Mus musculus: one gene and its partners. The protein of the gene in region 2 purifies or fractionates together with the protein of the main gene of each other region. This does not show direct contact. Links are inferred from orthologs where the notes say so. Each region holds a gene or a part of one and is shown on either strand. Other genes may lie near its edges.

The links.
Region 1: the proteins of Nop2 (region 2) and Nifk fractionate together in Homo sapiens (co-fractionation; 3 studies listed by BioGRID, with this or other methods). This does not show direct contact. The link is inferred for Mus musculus from reciprocal best matches to the Homo sapiens genes NOP2 and NIFK.
Region 3: the proteins of Nop2 (region 2) and Srpk2 purify together in Homo sapiens (affinity purification with mass spectrometry; 3 studies listed by BioGRID and IntAct, with this or other methods). This does not show direct contact. The link is inferred for Mus musculus from reciprocal best matches to the Homo sapiens genes NOP2 and SRPK2.
Region 4: the proteins of Nop2 (region 2) and Ebna1bp2 fractionate together in Homo sapiens (co-fractionation; 3 studies listed by BioGRID and IntAct, with this or other methods). This does not show direct contact. The link is inferred for Mus musculus from reciprocal best matches to the Homo sapiens genes NOP2 and EBNA1BP2.

The regions. Positions count from the first base shown.
Region 1 is NC_000067.6:118,319,927-118,325,243, forward strand, and holds the start of Nifk (MKI67 FHA domain-interacting nucleolar phosphoprotein), read left to right. Parts: upstream 1-1,916; 5' UTR 1,917-1,966; coding exon 1,967-2,071; intron 2,072-3,655; coding exon 3,656-3,799; intron 3,800-5,317.
Region 2 is NC_000072.6:125,129,959-125,135,155, reverse strand, and holds the start of Nop2 (probable 28S rRNA (cytosine-C(5))-methyltransferase), read right to left. Parts: upstream 3,274-5,197; 5' UTR 3,153-3,273; exon of another isoform or gene 3,127-3,152; intron 2,949-3,126; 5' UTR 2,944-2,948; coding exon 2,838-2,943; intron 1,638-2,837; coding exon 1,592-1,637; intron 1,443-1,591; coding exon 1,354-1,442; intron 610-1,353; coding exon 425-609; intron 1-424. Other genes in the region: Chd4 (chromodomain-helicase-DNA-binding protein 4), read right to left, coding at 5,155-5,197. UniProt on the Homo sapiens protein: S-adenosyl-L-methionine-dependent methyltransferase that specifically methylates the C(5) position of cytosine 4447 in 28S rRNA. Required for efficient rRNA processing and 60S ribosomal subunit biogenesis.
Region 3 is NC_000071.6:23,672,689-23,678,031, forward strand, and holds the start of Srpk2 (SRSF protein kinase 2), read right to left. Parts: upstream 3,280-5,343; 5' UTR 3,186-3,279; coding exon 3,170-3,185; intron 3,087-3,169; coding exon 3,032-3,086; intron 1-3,031. UniProt on the Homo sapiens protein: Serine/arginine-rich protein-specific kinase which specifically phosphorylates its substrates at serine residues located in regions rich in arginine/serine dipeptides, known as RS domains and is involved in the phosphorylation of SR splicing factors and the regulation of splicing.
Region 4 is NC_000070.6:118,618,884-118,624,288, reverse strand, and holds the start of Ebna1bp2 (probable rRNA-processing protein EBP2), read right to left. Parts: upstream 3,491-5,405; 5' UTR 3,358-3,490; coding exon 3,292-3,357; intron 3,208-3,291; coding exon 3,124-3,207; intron 2,929-3,123; coding exon 2,756-2,928; intron 2,220-2,755; coding exon 2,096-2,219; intron 992-2,095; coding exon 902-991; intron 679-901; coding exon 603-678; intron 155-602; coding exon 61-154; intron 1-60. Other genes in the region: Cfap57 (cilia- and flagella-associated protein 57), read left to right, coding at 3,884-4,040. UniProt on the Homo sapiens protein: Required for the processing of the 27S pre-rRNA.

The DNA of each region.
Region 1 (5,317 bases), on a different chromosome or scaffold from region 2:
TTGAGTGTGAGCCTGGGAACAAGCCAATAAGCAGTGGTCCTGCATGGTTTCTACTTCAGTTCTTGCCTTGGTTTCTCTCGATGATGGATTTTAACCTATAAGGAACAAAATCTTGCTTCTCCCCCAGGTTGGTTTTGGTTTGTCTTATCATAGCAACAGAAAGAAAACTAGGACATCCCCAGAGGACAGCCTGCTGGAGTTGGTCCTCACCTTCTACCATTTGGGTTCTATGGTCCAGTTCAGGCCTTCAGCCTAACCTCCATAGCCTTTACCCTCAGACCCATCTTGCCATTGATTGCCTTCCTCCTTTTGTAGGGACAGGGAGGGTCTCATGTATCGCTGGCTGCCTAGATGTTGGTTTACTCAGAGTTGGAAGTAGAAGCCAGAGCTTCATAAAAGGCAGGTAAGCTCTGTGCTGAGCCTGCACCTCCAGCCCCTCTTCCAGTGTTCCTTATGTCATAACATTCCCCAAAGGGGCTTAAGGAAGCCCCATCTCCCCAGAAGTTGCTCTCTTAGATAAAGGGCTTCTTTTTTTATCCACTGAGTCTCAAAAATATTTTGCTTAAAATAATCTTCAGACCGGGTCAGTAAGGTGGCTCAACAAGTAAAGGCACTTGCCACTAAGCCTGAGTCCCCAAAACCCATACCGTGGAAGGAAAGAACTACAGCAAGTAGTCCTTTGACCTAGACACATGCGATGCAGCACAAGGGTGCACACACCCATACTCACTGACAGGCATACACTACACACAAAATCAATCAACCTGTCAATCAATTAATCTATAAGTAAATAAACAAATGGAGAAAAGACAACTGTTTCAACATAAGAAACTCTTACAAGCTTCTCCTTTTGTTTTCTCAAAATTCCTATTGTGTTACCTAAAGAAACTTACTAGGGAACTCAAGAGATGGCTCTGTGGTCAAGAGCTCACAGTCCTTAATTCCAGTTCCAGTGTTCTGATGCCCTCTTCTGGCCACTGCAGGCACTGCACATATAGGGTACATATACAGGCAAAACACTCATCGCATAAAAATAAAATAAATGGGGACTAGACAAATAGCTCACAGTTAAAAGTATTTTCTGCTCTTCCAGAGGACTTGAGTTCAGTTCCCAGTACATTGGACATCTCTCAACAGCCTGAACTCCAAGTTCAGGAGATCCGACACCATTATTCTCTATGGTCATCTGAATTCCTGAACACATACCCACTCACAGACACAGGTGTATAATATCAAAAATATAAATAGGTGTTGGATTATGCTGTGGAGACTTCCATGATGAGGACTGGTGGAATTTCAAGTCCTGAACTTGAGAGACCTCGGGGACTGGTGGAATTTTTTTCTTGTAGGGCAGGGTCTGGCCACTCTCCCACTTTTGGATGGTTAGAAAACCATTAGGGACGTTGGAAAACATGCGGGGGTGGGGGGACTGGGGAGGTTGGCCACTGGATCTCCTCAGGCAGGGGCCTGGCCACTTTCCTGCTTGAGCGTTTACAAAGTTTACAAAAGGAGCCCACAGAGGGGAAGGCTTTTCCTGTTGCACGTTGGCATGAACAGGCAACGGGCATGGCTAATGTTTGAGACTTTAAATTTGTTTTTGAGTCCATGGAGCCCAGGCTGTCTTCGAACTATGTTTATGAGAATGGCGCTGAACTCCTGATCCTCCTGCCTCTACCTCCCAAGTGTTGGGATTACAGATGGGGGCAGGGGGCGTGGCTCCAGTCACATTTTATGAGGCACTGGGTTTCAAACCTAGGACTGAGAACAAGCGCTTCACCAACGGAGCCTTAATCCGATTTTAAATGTTTTTAGTTTGTGGCCAGTAGGTGGCGCTCGAGCTGCCTCAATTCTAGACACCGGGGCCTGCTCTTTTGCTACACTTCCGCCTCTACTTCCGCTTCCGAGACGCGAAGGAAACGTCACTTCCGAAGGCTCCGCGTGGATTGACTTGTTCGGGTTCTCCAGCATGGCTGGGTTAGCAGGCCCCGCGAAGCCGAGTCTGGCATTGAACCCGCAGGAAGACTCGCAGTTTGAGAAGGCTCTGACGCAGATCCAAGGGCGCACGAAGAAGGTGAGCGGCGCGGGGCGGCCGGGCTGGCTCGGGAGCCAACCTCTCACGGGCTGGGAGACGATGGTTCCAATCAGGGGACCGAGGCAGGTCAGGAATCGGTGTGAGGTGAAGGAGGAGGGGTACCACGTGTGGGAGCATGGCACCCCCAGATCTCAGAATGTGTTAAAGCTGCCACGCTTCCGCTTTGACCTGCAAAATGAGGGTTCATGGTCTACCGCAGCATTCGGAAGGTGTGTTATGTCCCCTTAGTTTGTAGTGCTTAGAAGACGGAGTAGACGTCCCGAAGCCCACGTCCTGGGAGGATCGAGAGTCAGAATACAGCTCAGGGTCAGAATTCAGAATAGGGCTTCAACCTGTCAACCTGTCGAGTTCAGTTTGTATGCAATGTCCCTAACGGAAGTTTATAGTCCCTTTGGTTTGCACCATGGAGTGCATTGGAGAGAACGACAGCTTTTCTTTTTTTATTGTTGTTGTCCTGGGGGTCTTTTGGGAGGGTCGCTTTTGTTACAGTGTCAGTATAGGGTTTATTGTAGCCCAAGCTCACCTCACATTTGCTGTGCAGTCGAGGTCTTGAACCCCCTATATCCACTTCATGAATACACTATAGGTCACCCGGTACCCTACCTGACAGGAAACAAGTTCTTGTTCTCTGGGGTCATAGTATGGTGATAGAGAAGGAGAGTCTGCACCATGAAGGTTAACAACCGGAAACAGTTAAGATTCGGTGTAATAAACTGCCAACTGCATTCGGAGTTGAAGGTCTTGGTTTCACAGTGTTACTCTGAACATGACAGACTGTTACTTGCTTGTCCATTTAGCTCTTGAACACATGTTGTGCTGACTGTTTTGTAGGGACAGGTGGGTGTGGACATATGTGTGCCTTGGTGTGCATCATGGTGCGTGCGTGTGTGGGAGTCTGTCTCTTGCAGAGTCTGTGGCTCTGTGTGATTGAACTCAGGCCTCAGCCTTGCTCAGCAAGTGCTTAAGGGAAGAGAGATACCAAACACGGAGTTTTTCAGTTTCTGCCCTGATAGAGTTATGAGTTTGTTCCTGGACCAAGGGGAAAGAATGGTGTTGAAAATTTGTTGCAGGCCAGGCAAGGTGACTTTTACCTTCAATCCTAGTGTTGGAGAGGCAGAGGCAGGCAGATCTCCACCTAGCCTCTGAAAGGACTTTAGGAAGCTGGGTGGCGGGGACACACACCTTTAATCTTAGCACTCAGGAAGCAGGGGCAGGTGGATCTGTGTGAGTTTGAGCCTAGCCTGGTCTACAAAGCTAGCTCCAGGACAGCTGGGGCTACCCAAAGAAACTCTGTCTCAAAAAAAAGAAAAAGACATTAGAATTAATTTACTCTGAGGTTATGGAATGGTAACATACTTTCGTTGAAAAATAAAGACCTTTGCAGGGCATGGTGATATAGGACTTTAATCTTAGCATTCAGCAGTTAGAGGCCAGCCAGGTCTACGTAGTGAGTTTTGGGCCAGCCAAGGCTCCATAGTGAGATCCGGCTCAGAAAAATGTGTATACGCACAAACGTTTTGGTGTAGTATGAGTTTGTATTTTTAAAATGTTTATCTGTTTTAGCCTCAGCAAAAGAAGAAAGAAAAACTTAACCGTGGAGTAGTTTATCTGGGCCACCTACCTTCAACACTTTCTGAAAGCCACATCTATAACTACTGTGCCCAGTTTGGCGACATTAGCAGATTCAGATTGTCTAGAAGTAAGCGGGTAAGATTCTGTTCCTGAATTCAACTATGTATATTTTGCTTGTCAATTGTATGTCATCCTTTGTATTCATAGGCACAGCGTTGTTACCTACAAAGTTCCTGCTCGGGAACTTTTCACAAGCCAGGCATGGTGGCACCCCCCTTAAATCCAGCACTCAGGAAGCAGAGGCAGGTGAATCGGTTTAAAGCCAGCCTAGTTTACATCATGAGTTCGGAGATACCCACAGCTACATAGAGAGAGCTTGTCTCTAAATAAAGTAAATATAAGTAAAGTGATTTTACAAATTGCAGTGGAATCACAAGAAAGTAAGCTTGGTGTAGTGGCCTGCCTTTAGTCCCAGCACTCAGGAGACAGGGACAGGCAGAGTTTGAGGCCAGTCACGGTTTCATAGTGTGGATTTCTATCTCAATAAAAAGCGGGAAATCATGAGGCTGTGGAGATAGCTCAGTCTATAACTGTCAACCTACAGAAGCCAGGAACGGTCATATGCGCATGTGATCTCAGTGCTGGGAACGTAAGGCTTGCTAACCAGCCAGCCGAGCTCAGCTCCAGGCCAATGACAGAGACACCCTGGGAAATGCCCAGAGGTCCGAGCGCTTGTGCCATAAACATGAAGTGGAACACGTGCACACACACCCCTTCTTCAAGCACCAAGTGAAAGGCCAGGTGTGACCCCAATATTGGAAGCTGGAGCCACTGATTGTAGAACTTGTTGCCAGCCAGTTAAGCCAAAAGAGCAAGCGACCAGCTCAAGAGAAAGTCCTGTCTTGAGAGAGTAGAAGGTACTGTGCGCGCTCCGGCCTCGGCCTGTGCACAGACAAGGTGGTGGAGCGCCTTGCGGAACAGCACTGAGACTTCATACTTGGAGTTGGCTCACCTTTGTTAGAAGGTTCTAGCTGGGAGCTCACCCGACAGGCCGAGGGCTGGATGTGCTTACAGGGCACAGCCACACGTTGCTTACAGGGCTTCCCTCGGGAAAATCGGGCAGCAAGGATTGAAATTTATATCAATCTCAAGAGCAGAATCAGTGTTCTAAGTGTTCATTTAACTAAGGTAGTTGCTTCTCGTCCTCAGACTACACAGACAAGTAGATCGTGTTTATTTTGCGACTGCTAACCCTGGGGTTAATGAACTTAAGTTTGGTTTATGTAAGGTTTCTCTAATAGAGCCCCTAAAACCACAGGAATCATTTTTTGTGAATTTGCTTTTACCGGGGTTTAAGTCAGGGGATGGAAATTGTCGCTTTGTGACCACCACCTTCTTGAGGCCTACTGCCAACTGATTCCTCCCTGGAAGAGAATTTCCTCCCCTGGGGACTCCTCCCGCTGGTTGCCTCTCCTAGTTCCCTGAGCAATTCTTCCTCTTGGGAGACTTGTGCTGTCCCATCTGTTCTTTTGTTTGCGTGTGGGGAAGGAGAAGACGAGTCTTGCATTGTCCTGAGGAGGCTCGTGGGCTTTGGCGCTTTCTTTGTGGGTCATTGAGTCTCCTGGAACTCGTCTGGAATGTAACTGCCGTCTC
Region 2 (5,197 bases):
CCACTCAGACTGTCCTTGTCTCTGGAGGAGCCTGGACAATTTGGAAAGAAGCTAAAAAGCAAGTTAGACATGGTGGCACAAACCCAGATGCCAGCACTTGAGAGGCCAAGGCAGGAGCAGTACACATACCAGGCCAGTCTGGGAACTAAAAGGCTAAGATTCAATCAGGCAGTGACACATTACCTGTAATCACAACACTCAGGAGCCAAAGTAGGAGAGTTGTAAATTAGAGGCCAGCCTGGGCTAAGTAGAGTTCAGGCCAACAAAGATCGAACAAGCTAGGCGTGGTGACACATACCCTTAGCCCCGGCATCAGGAGGCAGAGGCAAGAAGAGCTGATTTCAAGGACAGCCAGGGCTACACAGTAGGACAATACCTCAAATAAACAGAAAGATCTACTTGAGAATACCCAGAAGAGACTCACCTTTTCCTCCTCATCCTCCGAGTTAGAGGCAGCTCCATAGTCATCCACCATATCTTCATCACTGTCCTCAGAGCCCCAAAGGTCCCCCTGGGTCACCACATCGTCTTCCCCCGAGTCTTCCTCCTCGTCCCCATCACTGTTTTGAATTGGTGCTGGGCGCTTCTTACCTCGAGCCTGGACTGCTCCTGAGAAGAGTGAGGGTTTGCCAAACCCTGGATGGACGGCAACCACACCCTGCCTCACACCCCTGGAGCCTGTACTTTCTAGCCCTAAGCATGGTCTCTGAGGGCTGGAGAGATGGCTTTACTTAACAGTTAAAAGCACAGACCCCAGAACCCACATATGACAATTCACAAGTACCTATATCTCCAACTCTCAGTCGATTCAGCATCCCACTCACGAGCACACAACCACATTCGGACACACACAAGAAAGAGTAAAAATAGGGCCGGAGAGAAGACTCAATGGATAAGAGCAGGCGTTGCCCTGGCACTCGAATGGTGGGGATTCACAACCATTTGTAATTCCAGTTCCAGGGGATCCGATGCCTTCTTTTGACCTCCACAGAACCAGGCACCCACATGACACTCACTCATATATGCAGGCAATACACTCATATATATAAAATAAACTGAGTTGTGATTTTTCAAAAGTAAGGCAGAAACAGTTGGATCTCTGTGAGTTCATGGCCAGCCTAGTCTACAAAGTGAGTTAAAGGATACTCAAGGCTACACAGAGAAAATCTGTCTCTTACCACGGCCTGAGCTATCTCCAGCATCTTAAAGAAACAAACAAACAAAAAAAAAAATATATATATATGTACATATATATATATTTTGCTTTGCCGTTCCTTCCATTCTAGAAACAATTAGCCCTATCCAGGTCCCAGAGGATTCTTCACAGAGCAACCAACTCCTATAGTCACTAACCTTTGGATAACTCTCCAGGCAATGTTTTGATCCCAGGAGACTTATTTGGCTTAGGGACGTCAACAGACCCTGCCCTCCTCTTGGCTGCCCTGAAAGAATACAGAAAGTGAAGACAAGGGAACATACCTCCGGGTTCTGCCACCTCCCACCACAAGGAAACAAGACAATGCACAACCAGCCCTCTTCACCCATGGATCCAGCAGCTACAATCTCACTAAACCAGCGGATTCACACTCACCGCTTTCGGGCACGACTCGACAGCCTCTTGGAATTCTCATCGCCAGCTGTTAATTTAAAAAAGGGATAGATTAGGAATTTATAGGAAATACAAACTGGGGGCAGGCATGTAATTAGGAAGAGAGAGAATCACCACGTTAACGAAGAAAAGTGTGGCAGTGGTAGAGCGAGTTTGTTTGTTATGTACAAGTCCTCATATTCACCCACGGCAGCAGGAAAGACTAAGGCTATAAACTACAGTCCATGGGAGTCACTCCATACAAGTCATCCAGGAGTTACAGGAGATGTGAAAGACAGGCCAATAGTACAGCCTGTGCGGAGTATGGGGAAAGCCCAAGGCTCCATTCCCATCACTTCCAGAAAACTTAAAAAGACCAAAAGAAGCCAGGTGTGGTGGTGAACGCCTTTAATCCCAGCACTCGGGAGGCAGAGGCAGGCAGATTTCTGAGTTTGAGGCCAGCCTGGTCTACAGAGTGAGTTCCAGGACAGCCAGGGCTATACAGAGAAATCCTGTCTCGAAACCCCCACCCCCACCCCACCCCACCCCAAAAAAGACCAAAAGATGTAGAGGAGAGGAAGCAGCCATCAGACTGTTCAGCAAGGAAACTCAAACAGTGACATTCTGATAACAATGTAACCTCAAACCCCTTTTCTGCCCTTCCCTTATTCTCAGCTTATTCAGTTATCAACTAAATTAGAACTTAATTTTGCTATTTTTGGTTTTACAATCTACAAGAAATGTCCCTTTTCACTTACTGTGTGTTAAGACACCTCTAACCTAACAAATAACAAAGCCTCTCTCCCAGGACTCTAAAATTCGATGAAGTGAGACCATGTGTCCATACAGTTGAGGATCTCCTTCATGGGCCTGTGGCTTGCCAATATTTCAACAAACTGCATCTTCCATCATCCTTCACCACAGAGGGCTCAGATCCGTGCTTTCATTCCATCTCTTCCGGACAATTCGTGACCGGTCTGTTCCGTTTCCAACTCTTGCTTACCAAAACTAAGCTTAATAACATCTTTCCAAATTCTTCATGAGAACTCCCTTCCTGGAAACGGAAGATCGCACCGCTCCTCGCACGAGTACCATGCCCCAGTGGCAGCTTCCCACCCTTCTCTAACCCAAACTATTTATCTCCTAACAGCTCACATCTATGCAGCAGGTAAAGGCGAACACGCAAACGAGAAGTTATGGCACAAAATGGGGCAAAGGCTGGCCGGGATCAGGGAGCTACGACCCTCACCTGCAGGCAAAAATCTGACCAATTCGGTCTCCGCACCCTTCTGTTTTCGGGCCTTTCGGCCGGGTCCACGCTTCTCCTTCTTCGTAGGATCCAACTTGCGCCCCATGATAACTAAAGCAAAGACAAACGAGGCAAAGCGACGTTGTGGATGCTGAAATGGGAACGCAGGCCGTAGGCTTAAGGATATTACCAGGGATGGGTACCGCCCGGCCCAGGACCACTACTCAGGACCCCGATGGCCCCCTCCAGGATCTCCCACAGGACCTCGTCACCACGCCCCTCTCGGAACCTTGCTCCGCGATCCTGCAGACGCACCTGAAGGCTCGGCTCGCCTAGACCTGGTTCCGGCTGACCCGGCACCTCCAGTCAAGGCCCGCTCCACGTGCACTGGGGGGAAGAACTCAGAGGTCGCACACCGCGAAAGTGAATCGCGCAAGCGCAAAAAGGGTCGTCACAACGCCCCGCCTCTTCCGGCCGCGGCACCGGAACACACGTGATCCAGGGACACGCCCCTCACCCGCGGTTCAGAGAGGGAAACGCGCGGCGCTGCGGTCAGCGTTTCTCTGCCCTCGGTTCGGAAGGTGGCTTCCGCCCGCTACTCCCGAGGCCGCACGCTCCTTCCACCTAGCACCGCAACTTGGCCCTCCCGCTGGCACCCTAATTGCCTTAGCCCGCAAGATCGCGGGGTCCCACGCCCCTCGCCCTCCTGTTCCCAAAGTTTTGTATTAGAGCCGCTTTCCTTAGAGGTAACCCTCCCCTCCGGACCCTTTCACATAGGAACACGCACTCGGCCGGCCTTCCTTCCAAGCAGGGAGACCGCTTAGCGGATAAACGCGCTTGTCTCCGAGCCTGCAGAACTGAGTCTTTGAGTCCAGGACCCACCCATCTAGTGGCATCGGGCACAAACTCCTACAAGCTGCTCTTTGACCTCCACGTGCACAGTGATGCTATGTACAAATTATATAAGAGAGTGGTAGTTCTCTATAATCTCAGCCCTCTGCAAGAAGCAGGTGAATCTCTTTAACTTGAGGGCAGCCTGGAATTCCTGGACCCAGGATTACACAAAGAAACCCTGTCTCAAAGAAAACCAGTAATAAGGGGCTGGAGAGATGGCTCAGCAGTCAAGAGCACTGACTGCTCTTCTAAGGGTCCCGAGTTCAAATCCCAGCAACCACATGGTGGCTCACAACCATCTGCAATGAGATCTGATGCACTCTTCTGGTGTGTCTGAAGTGTACTCATATATAATAATAAATAAATCTTCAAACAAAAAAAAAGTGATAACAATAAACCAAGGAAAAAATTTTAGGGTACGGTAACATCCTTAATTCCCCCACTTGAGAGGCAGGGGCAGGCAGTAGTTACTTAGACCCTCAAAAAATTTATACTTAAGGTAACACATCCTTAATTCCCCCACTTGAGAGGCAGGGGCAGGCAGTTGTTACTTAGACCCTCAAAAAATTTATACTTCTATAATTACATATTCACGCATATGTATTCCATGGTAGAACACTTGCCCAATGTCTTCACAACTGTACCAGGCAAGTGGCTACTTCCTGCAGGAGTGCTCTGCGAACAGTTTGCTAAAGATCAGAGCCTATAAACAATGGTCCAGAAGCCTCTTGTTCGCCAGAATGTCACCCTGTCAGGAGCACAGGCAGTCTTCCAGGATAAGCCAGTTCCTGGGGTACCTGGAACCCACACTCACCCACACAGAACCAGATCACTAAAATACAAGGAAACTTTTATTTTCAGTTCTCATCAAGAAATTTGCTGTGGTTTTTTATGCTTTTGGTTCTTTTTCTTTTTTTTTTTTTTTCCAACTTTATTTAGCTGCTCAGTGGCTGGAGCCGCTGGGTTCCTGGTATTAAAAAGATGCCAACAGAGGTAGCTGTGTCTCGCCCAGGGGCCCGGCCCACTCTGAATACCCCCCAAAAAGGAGAAAACACAAAGTAAACCAACAAAATAAAACCAAAAAGAGGAAGAAATTCAGATCATTTTCTTCGAGCCTGGCAGAATCCACAACAGTTTGTAACAGGCGCACGGTGGGGAGAAGCCAGGGTCCAGAAGGCAGCCAGCCCGCCAGCTCCTGCACATGGCGGGCGGGCGCTGCGCTACTGCTGCTTGTCTCTCCAGCAGGAAGGGCACCATTGCTTCTCCCTCCCTCCCTGCCCCACTGCGCAGGGCTGTTCCTTTACAACTCAGAAGATGGGCAGAAGGAAGGCAAGGGTCTCTCTGGCCCCCAGGGGCAGCCGGGACAAGAGAAAGTGAGGAAGGTCACTGCTGAGTGGTGGAGGTGGATATCACTCTGGGTCTTTCACTGCTGCTGGGCTACCTGCTGTGGGGGAGGTTCTGGCGCC
Region 3 (5,343 bases), on a different chromosome or scaffold from region 2:
ACTTTATACTATAGAAAAGGACTGAGGACTTCCTTAGTAAGACTAGAAAATATGCAAATTGTGGCATACTTACTCAATGGAGGTCTATAAAGCAGTAAAAATGAGCAAGTTAATGGTACTTGTCCCATACAACATGGACAAGTCTGAAAATAAGTTGAGAGAGAAATCCCATACGTGTGTGCTTTATATGAAGTTCAAAACAAACAAAACTAATGTTTTGGTGGTGGTGGTGGTCGGGTTTTTTTTATTTTGGTTTGTTTGTTTGTTTTGCTGGGAGTGGGTGGGGGTGGGGAAGGTTCTAGCCAGGGTTTCTCTGTGTAAAAGCCCTGGCTGTTCTGGAACTCACTCTGTAGACCAGGCTGGCCTCAAACTCAGAGATCCTCCTGCCTCTGCCTCTTATGTGATGGGATTAAAGGCATGTGCCACCACAACTGGCCCCAAAAGAGAGGCCTACAGTATGGAGACTAAGGAAAAAGGACCTCAATTCTGAGACAAATTGGACTTTATAAACATACCCAGGAAGCTGAGTGCAATTCATAAAAGCCTACAGAAACAAATGAACTAAGATTAAAGAAAGCTCCGTTTGCATATAAGGAGGAAATTATGTTGAACATAGACCACACTGCATCAGGCCAGGCCCAGCCACATCACTCAAGCTTGCCAGTCACTACCACAGTTTAAAAGTAAGTCTCCTCCAGACTTAAAATGTCTCATCATCAGGACTCTTCAATGTAGATTTAAACAAGGCGGGTGATTCTAACCTGTCAGAGCTGTCTGTGAAATGAAGAAAACCTAAGACCCCAGCTTCCTCAAGTCCCTTCTCTCCAGTGCTAGTCCTTGAACCTAGAAAGCAGTTTTGCATTTATCATGTCTGATGACAGGCTAGCTCTGTCCTCACTCCCACCCCATCCCCACACGCAGACAACACCTTGTGCTGAAAGCTACAATTAAACCCAAGCATCCACTCAGACAGCTGCTAAATTTCCATGGTTCACCAAAAGAAAAACTTAGGGTTTTCATTAGTTAGAACCAGCACTACTTTTTAAGGTTTTCTTTTATGAATTTTGCCTACATGTATATATGTTTAATACATGTATGCAGCTGCCCATCAGACACCCTGGAACTGAGGATAGTGATGGTTGTGAACCATGATTTTGGTGCTAAGAACTAACCAGGTACCTCTGCAGGAGCAAGAAGCTCTTAACTACTGAGCCACGATAGCACTTTGAGGGGTGGGAGGGTGAAACAGGGTTTCTCTGTATAGCCCTGGCTGTCCTGGAACTAGCTCTATAGATCAGGCTGGCCTCAAAACTTACAGAAACTCTCCTGCCTCTGCCTCTCCAGTGTTGGAATTAAAGGTATGTACCATCACTGCCCCGGGGAAATAGAACTAGTTTTTAAAAAGCATAAACTATCAGAAGCCTACATTGAGTTTCAGCATTTTAAATATCCCATATCTGATATCTGAGCCAGGGAGATGGCTCAGGGTAACAGTGCTTATCACCATGCCTGACAATTGGAGTTCAATCCCACAGACCTACACATAACAGAGAATCAATCCTTTTCTCTTTCTTTCTTTCTTTCTTTTTCTTTTTTTTTTTTTTTCCTACAGACCCAGTATTCCCAGGTAGTCTCCCATCTGAATACTAACCAGGCTTGATCTTGTTCAGTTTCCGAAGCTATGGTCAGAGAATCAAACGCTGAAAGTTGTTCCTTGACTTCCACAGGTGTCAAGGCTCTTACACATCCAAACCCAAACACACACACAAAATAATAAAAATAAAAACCTTTTTTAATTTTCAATGTTTACCTTCCAATTTTCAAGTCTTTTTGCCTCCTAAAAATAGATTTCTTTCATATTTATATATCCACATCTTAGGAAATCCTATACATACAGTCAAGTTATATTCAATTTTGAATGAAGACAATCCTGCCAGTTTTCCTAGATGTCACCAAATGTGTGGGAAATCCCTGCTGGGCCAATACAAATTATAACCACCACCTAAGAGAGCAGAGGGTTATCCCACCCCTTGCAAAATAAAGATAGACAAATATTTCGTAATTTTATTAAAGGCGAATTCTGTCTTTCTCTATAGTACCAAAGACACCACACAAATTTCTTGCGCAAAAGGAACAGCGAAGCAAACAATGTGAGCAAAGATGTTGATAGCTGGTCCAGCAAACCCAGAGAGAGAGGAAAGAGAAACACGCGGCGGCGCTCTGACGCCTAGGAAAACCCAGCTCTCGGGGAAAGGCTTCTCCGACAGCAGCTGCCCAACTGGGCTGCAGGTCCAGGCTGGAGGTGGCTGGCGCTGGCACATTTGAAATATCATAGTCGGTGGATCCAGTCCGGAGCACCACGCGGGACCCGCCCGCGCACACACCCACAGCCCACTGCAGCAAGCGACCTGGGCGCAGCCGCAGCACGCAAGTAACGCTCGACCCGAGCAGAAAGTTTCGAATGAAAAACCCGAGCGCCGAAACGCACCGGTCCCGGAGCTGAACTCACGCCAGGAACAACGCCCGGAGCCAAACCACTTGACAAGCAGCTCGGGTTTTCAGCTGGCTGGCCCAGGCGGGACCGGGAGGTGGCAGAGGCGGCAGCGCACTGGCTCCCGCAGCCCAGGTGTCAGCCGCGCCGCCGCCTCCCTCCCGTGCCCACTATCCGACCCGTGCGGTACAGGCACTGGGGTGCGGATCAGGGATGTGGATAAGGGGCTCAGGATACGGATCAGGGACGCCGATCCGGGGCGCGGGATGAGGATCGGGGACGCGGGGCACGGGGCACGGGGCGCGGGGTCGAGTGCAGAGCCCGGGCGGCTCGCAGGCTGACGGGCCAGGTCGCGGCTCCGGAACCCGCGGCCGCGCGCCCCTCCCCCCACCCCTCCCCCGCCGGGGCACGTAGAGCCGGCGCCGCGTCCCGGGAGACCCACCGCCCGCGGCCCGGGGACCGGGAAGCTCTGCCTGCGCGGCCGCAAGCAACATTCAGCGAGGCGGGGCGGGGTCGGGACCAAGCGCCGCGCGGACTCACTTTTTCGGATGTTTCTCTCTTTTCGGCCTCCGCTTTCGGGCCTGAATGGCCAGCACTGGGGAGAGAGAAGACACATTAACGGTCGGGTTGGCCGCCTGCGTGCCGCGAGGCGGGGCGGGGGCCGCTCGCGCCGCTCACCTTTCCTGGAGCTCATTCCGACTCGGGGCAGCCAGGCGGGGGGCTCCGCGGCGGAGGCGGCGGCGACGCGACAGTCAGCCGCACCGGGATGCAGCCTCCACTCGCTCGCCGGCCGAGGAGGCGGGAACCGCGCCTGCGCCGCCGCGGCCTCTCCCGCGGGGGCCAATGAGACCCGCCCCCGCGGCCCCGCCCCGCAGCCCCGCCCCCTCCGCGCCCCCCTCCGCAGCTCTGGAGCACGGGGGTCCGGACCCCGGCCGCGCCCTTATCACTCGCTCGGCGGCCCACCTGTGCTGAAGGGCGGTTGCGCGCTCACGGTTCCCCGCGCCCACGGCCCCCTCGCCCACGGCCTCCCGCGCCCACGGCCTCCACCTCCTTGCTTTTACGGCCGCCGCAGGCCACCCGTTCCCGGGCACTAGGCCCAGCCGCCGACCCTTCCTCCCAGCCACCGCTCCGCACCCCGGCTGGTCGTGCCGCACGCCTCTCCATGCGCTCTTCCTTGGCCAGCGCCTTGGCGGGTCTCTCGCCACCTCTCTCAGGCGGCCTCCTCTATCCCTTTGCATCTCTACATCCTTGCATCCCTATGAGCGCCGCTTCCTCCTCTCCGGCGGGCGTGGAAAGGGCACAAGACCAAGAGCTGAGGAACCTGGGTCCTTGAGTGTCTGTGTGACCTTGGAGAAGTGATTTTCCTCTCTTTTCCTACTCCATTAGGCTGCGTGAGTTTAACGAAGGAAAGATGCACACAGCTTAAATGGAAAGTTTGTCACAGAAAGCCTAATTTTCTAAATACCATGAGATAAGAGCCTAAAACAGCAATCATGCCAAAAAGTGATTTTTTTTTTCTTCCTCCTATAATGGGGAAACTAAACCCTAAATAGGTCAAACAGTTCTACCAGCCTGTATTTCTATTCAGGCCTGGCTGGTTTCTCTTTCTGCCTTCCCAGGCTACCTGGTTTCTCTTTCTACCTTCCAAGGCTATCTAAGATGCAAATCACGCTGACTGACACGTAGTTACCACTTCAGTGTTCTCTTGTCTCTTTGAACAATTACAGTATCTTAAAGATACTGGTCCTGAACACTCAGTCCTTCATTGGTTACAATTGTATCGTTGAGTTACAACTGTATCACTGAGTCTTACTCTAAAGATGTCCCAACAAACAGGAAAGGCCGCTCCAAGTTTGAAAAGATTTTACTTTCTCCATTTTTTTTTTCAAAAAATCTGAAACATACAAGAAAAATGCAGTAATCGGCACTATTAACCCACATTCACTAGGTTTTTTTTAAACGTTTCTCCACAGTTGCTCTGTGTGTGTGTGTGTGTGTGTGTGTGTGTGTGTGTATGCATATGGTGTATTTTGCTGAGTCATTCAGTAGTTTGCAGACTGTTACCCTCCACCCCAAAAGATTTCAATACATATCTACTAAAAGCAAAGATTTTTTTTTTCTACATAATCAGAACGTTATCACTCTAAGAAAATCCAATAAAATATGTTTGGCGACATTTTTTTTCCAACCCAAGGTCATCCGTTACTGTTAGTGCCCATGTGTTTTTAAGTGTGTTTAGAATAATCCCTGGGTTGGGACTTTTTTTTTTTTTTTCTGATACTTTCCCTGAGTTCCAAGGCAGGCCTTGAATTTACAATGTAGCCAGTCTAAGTACACCTGCGTTGCAGGCCTCTTGCCTTACTTAGCTTCTCAAGTGCATGGAAGACAGGCATGCACCACTAACAGTGACTATTTTGAAGAATCTAGTTCTATTTTGCAGAATGTGCATCAGTTTTAATTTTGTTTGCCTAGTACTACAGTAAGGTTAGTAACTTAAGTGCGATGTATAGATGCATAGATGGTGTGTGACATCAAGATGTCAGTGTAGCCAGGCGTGGTGATGCAAGCCTTTAATCCCAGCACTTGGGAGGAAGAGGCAGGCAGATTTCTGAGTTTGAGGCCAGCCTGGTCTACAGAGTGAGTTCCAGGACTGCCAGGGCTACACAGAGAAACCCTGTCTCGAAAAATCTAAATAAATAAATAAATAAATAAATAAATAAATAAATAAATAAATAAATAAAACTTAAGAGGTAGAATGTTTACCAGAATGAAGTCATGGACCCTACCCAGGTTCACTTCCCAGATACCAGAAAAAGAAAACAGAAAAAAAAAAAAAAAACACAGATTATTGA
Region 4 (5,405 bases), on a different chromosome or scaffold from region 2:
TGTTGGCCATCACAAGACTGGCGCATCAGAAGACAAATCCAAACCGAGACCCTTACTTACCCTTTACTCATCTGCTGGCCTTTACCTCCTGCCTTTGCACTGCGTTCCACAGGCTTCTGGTCACCCTCCAGGAAATCCAGCTTATCAGAGAAGCCTGTGCAGGGAAGAGCATTCACATCAGCACCACTGTATGTCTAGGAGCATACAGGACATGGCTGCTATTCCCTAACTGCATCTTAAGAAGCACATCTTGTGCCGGGCAGTGATGGTGCACGCCTTTAATCCCAGCACTTGGGAGGCAGAGGCAGGCGGATTTCTGAGTTCGAGGCCAGCCTGGTCTACAGAGTGAGTTCCAGAACAGCCAGGACTACACAGAGAAACCCTGTCTCAGAAAAACAAAACAAACAAACAAACAAACAAACACAAAACAAAACAAAAAAAAAAACGACAAAAAAAAAGAAGCATGTCTTGTTCCCGCACTATTTTCCAAGCATAAGCCCAGTAGATTCAAACCAAGGTAACTGGAAGCACTAGAGAGCTCCCTCGGTTCTAAGGTACTGAGACCCAGGCTCCCTACACTCTTAGCAGACAGCCACACTGACCTTTCTGGTATTTCTTGATGGCATTCATCATGTGTGCTTTCTCCCGCTGCCTCTTCTGCAGGACCTCAGTTTGCACCTGTGAGACAGACACAAAGTCAGCCCTGCATCCCAAACCATCACTCTAGAGACTGCAGCTCAGCCACTGCTACCACACTATGCTGGATACACCCAGGTGTGCCACGGTGGCGAGTGAACCTGTGCTCAGGGACACCAGCAGACACTTTACCAGGAACCCCAGCACAGTCTGCCCTGGCGCACCCGGCCCTGCCCGGCCCACGCAGGTGCTCTTTCTTTCTCACCTTCTTTCCATATTTCCTAAGCGCTCGAAGTTGCTTGGCCTTTTCAGATTTCTCCATGGCGGCCTGTTTAGTCTGCAGCTTCTGTCGAATCTAAAACGCAGAGAGTTGTTAGGCACTATTTGGAGCACACTAGAATGGAGCGCCAGTGTCTGACTAGCTCTGAACGCTGTGGAACTCATTTACTGTCCTAGATTTCCAAATTAAAACAATACGGTCCCAAAGCTGAGCCTGGCACCAAAAGTGTCCATGGGCTGAAGGAGCTTAAACACGACCCTGACTCTCTAAGGCACAAAGCTGCCTACTTATCATACAGGACCTGCTGTTTCTCCACAGATTAAGGCAAAACTGCAGCATTCTAATGGCCCACATCTGTAATAGTTCCTGCACACTCGTACCTCACCTCTTCCATCACACACACACACACACTCACACACACATTGTACTGAAAGTGCTAAGTAGTTATGTGTGTGACTGTCAGATGTAGATGGATCTGTGCTTGTCTCAGGATTGGCCTCTTGAGGTACCACCTGTAATTCTCTAGGCCAAAGACTGAGACCAAAGGAACAATTTTAAATACATCCTGGATGTGACGTCAAGGTTTTTTTCCTCCCAAAGTTAAGTGAAGATCAAATCCCCCAACTCTAAGTCACACCACATCTGAGTTATCCGTCAAGTCTTCCATTTCTAAAAAGCTAAAGGGCCAGAGAGGAAAACCCCATCTAGAAGCAACAGTAATCTCCTTGGCATTGCTGGGCCAGAACTCTAAGACTGTTGTGTCTGTCCACTCCACTCACTCTGACAGGGAAGAAATACGCAAACCCCCAACTCTAAGTCACACCACATCTGAGTTATCCGTCAAGTCTTCCATTTCTAAAAAGCTAAAGGGCCAGAGAGGAAAACCCCATCTAGAAGCAACAGTAATCTCCTTGGCATTGCTGGGCCAGAACTCTAAGACTGTTGTGTCTGTCCACTCCACTCACTCTGACAGGGAAGAAATACGCAAGCTTCTTTTCGTAGGGCCCATACTTCTCCAGACCGTCTCTCTCTAATTTGCCTAGGCGACTGGCATGGCTCTGAAGCAGAGACTGTTGAAATACTGGCTACAAACACCACACATCTTTTTTTTTTTTTGAAGACTACAGGAATGACCCAGCTGAACAAATGAAACCTTGGCTTTCCAGAAGAAAAACCTACCTTTTGCATCTGCTGATCAGACTTGGCCATTTCTGCAAAATAATCGGTGGGCCTCTTCGTAGGGACTTGGAGCTGATGGAGTCGGGGTAATACCGCAAGCACTGCTGCCTGGGCCTGCCGGTAGCTGACATTACAGGACAGGGTGTAATGAGGGGAGGGGAAGGGCGCTCATGTCTTCTTACTGCCTCTCAGAAGTTACCTAACCTCAGAGCTATCACATCCCACCAGCACTGGCAAGATAAGACAGACACACCAACTAAAACTCCACTGATTGCACATATAACTGAAATCTCACTTTATGTTTATTTACGAGGGGAAAATACTTCCAAGAGCAAGTCAGTTTAAAACAACGAGCTTATTAAATACTGCGCAGACTATGAACTGTTTCCCAATCATTACAGAAAGAGCACTCATAACATTCCCTAGGCAAAGTGTGTTCTAATGATTGGAGGCACCCACACAAGCTTCAAATGAATTATTCTGAAACATCCCTCGAGCAGGGTTCTGGTTAAACGGCGACCAAGAACCTATTCTTTCCACCAGAGGAACCCGCTAGATCCACTCGCACGCTCGTGCTAACCCCGCCCAGTGCCTCTGAGGTTGCAGACACACTAAGACCCCCTTCCTGTAACTCCATCGCAGGACCCATAACAAACATACAAACTCATTTCCCTCTGGAAGTCGTCTTCTGGATTAACGCCTTTCTTCTGGTCCTGGTTCTGAGGTGTTGGCTGAGTCTCACTGACTTCTGGCACTGGACCCAGGGTCACATCGAGCCTTTCAACCCACTCCAGATCCCGTCTGAATTCAGCCAAGCACTGTTTCAGGCCACTCTAGGTTAAGTCAGACAAGGCGCTCATGAGAACCGCGAGTTTGACTCTCAGAAACCCAAAGTCCTATGCTCAAATATCCGCACAGGATGACGACCGCAGCGCAGGGTGCATCTTTCCCACCAGAATCGGTCTCCCAAGAGGCACAGCGCTTGTGCGCATCCTGTTCCAAGGACCCCGACCCTCGCACGAGCTCACCACGTCATTCACTGCCTTCTTCGGCTTCTCTAGCACGACATTGAGACCTGGCTTCAGGAGTCCGCGGGAAAACGCATCCTGCAACTACAGACCGGGGAGCCTCAGTACCAAAGAGCTAAATAAAGTCCCCGTCCCAGCCCCTGCCCCGCTAGCTCCGCTGCGGCCTACCTCTTGATCTGAGGCCAGGCACGCATCCGACTCCGAGTCCGACTCTGAAAGCGGAGGGGTGTCCATCTCGCGGCCTTCCGCCCCGCGAGGTTCGGCTGCCACTCCACGTGCCCACAAGCAGCACCACCGCCAACAAATTCTCCACAAGCCTCTGCCTTTTCAACAGGGACTTCCGCTTCCGGGTTCATAGCCGCACTTCCGGTTTTCTCGTTGCTATAGGAACTGCTCTAGCGTTTGGGCGTGCCCGGATTGCTTCGGATCTTTAGGAAGAGCACCTACTGATCCCTACGTAGTCTAGTAACCCAGAGCCGTGAAGCAAGAGGTAAATAGTTTCTTTGGGGTCCTCCTAAGGATCTGAGGGCGGTGGGAGTGCAGGAGAGGAAGGAAAGGCTCGGAAAGAGCCCCGGGGGTGGGGTGGAAAGGAAGAGGAGCCTAGGGGCGGGGCGATGGAGGGGCGAGGCGGGGTCAGGGAGGGGCGGGCCGGGGCCATGGGCGGGGCGGGGCGGGGCAGGAAAGGGAGATGCGCTGCTCGGCTTCACTCCCACCTACTTGCCTCTTTCTTCATCTTTTGCAATACTTTTTGACAGGTACCATGTCCACCGTGGTAGCTCAGGCGCTTCATGTTTTTGGTCTTCGGCCTCACGTGACCAACAATGTCTTCTTCTTCGATGAACAGATCATTATATTTCCTTCAGGAAATCACTGTGTGAAGTACAATATAGATCAGAAATGGCAAAAATTCATTGCAGGTAAAAAAGAAAAAAAGAAACCACCTTTTCCATTCTGACACATACATTAAAGGCATGTGCTACACAAAACCGCACAATCTCAACGATTGGGAAGATTTTTTTTTGATAACTGGGTTATCCACATATTTTTATAAATGTAAACAAAATAAATGGCCATTTACACTACTTAATCATAGATTAACGTGACACAAGTAGCCAAAATGACAGGTAAAATAACACACGTTTTAAAAGTACTTTTCCACAATGACTCCAGAGAAGAGTTACTTTAAACAGTGTTTTTCTTGTATTCTCCTGCAGTTGTGTTTGTCCTCACCAGAACCTTCTTTTGAGTCTAACGGTTTTGAGAGTACATGACCTTCATTGAACCCATGTCTGATGGAGACGCTGAAATTTTTATCTTAAGTGACAAATAACCTTTTAACATTTTTTTTTTTTTTGGTTTTTCGAGACAGAGTTTCTCTGTGTAGCCCTGACTGTCCTGGAACTCACTCTGTAGACCAGGCTGGCCTCGAACTCAGAAATCTGCCTGCCTCTGCCTCCCAAGTGCTGGGATTAAAGGTGTATGCCACCACTGCCCGGATTATTTACTTATTTTAAAGAGTTATGTATACAGTTTTCTGCCTGAATGTATACCTGCAGGCCAGAAGAGGGTACCAGATCTCATTACAGATGGTTGTGAGCCACCATGTGGTTGCTGGGAATTGAACTCAGGACCTCTGGAAGAACAGCCAGTGCTCTTAACCTCTGAGCCATCTCTCCAGCCCCTGGAATATCCCTAGTTTTATGTTAATAGTTTTACCAATTTTTCAGTTACTTTTGTAAGATTTTGTTCTAAGGGGTATCTCTCTTATTTAGTTATAGACATATTTTACATATCCTGTATTCTAATAATTTGTCAGGTATATATGTTAGAAATAATTAGCTAAGCAGTGATGCCTTTAATCCCAGCACTGGAGAGACAGGGACAGATAGATCTCTTAGTTCAAGGCCAACCTGTTCTGCAGAGTTCCAGGACAGCTAGGGCTACACAGAGAAACCCTGTCACAAAAAAACAAAAGCAAAACAAAAAGTAAGAAAGAAATATTTCTTTCTGAAGCCTGTGCTTTTTTTCTTCCTTGTGGTATCTGTGAATGAACAATAATTCTTAGTTTTTGCCGGGCATGGTGGTGCACGCCTTTAATCCCAGCACTCAGGAGGCAGAGGCAGAGGCAGGCGGATTTCTGAGTTCGGAGCCAGCCTTGTCTACAAAGTGAGTTCCAGGACAGCCAGAGCTATACAGAGAAACCCTGTCTCAGAAAAAAAAAAAAAAGGAAAATAATTCTTAGTTTTAAAGAAGTAAAAGTCATCAAACACCATGTAAATATT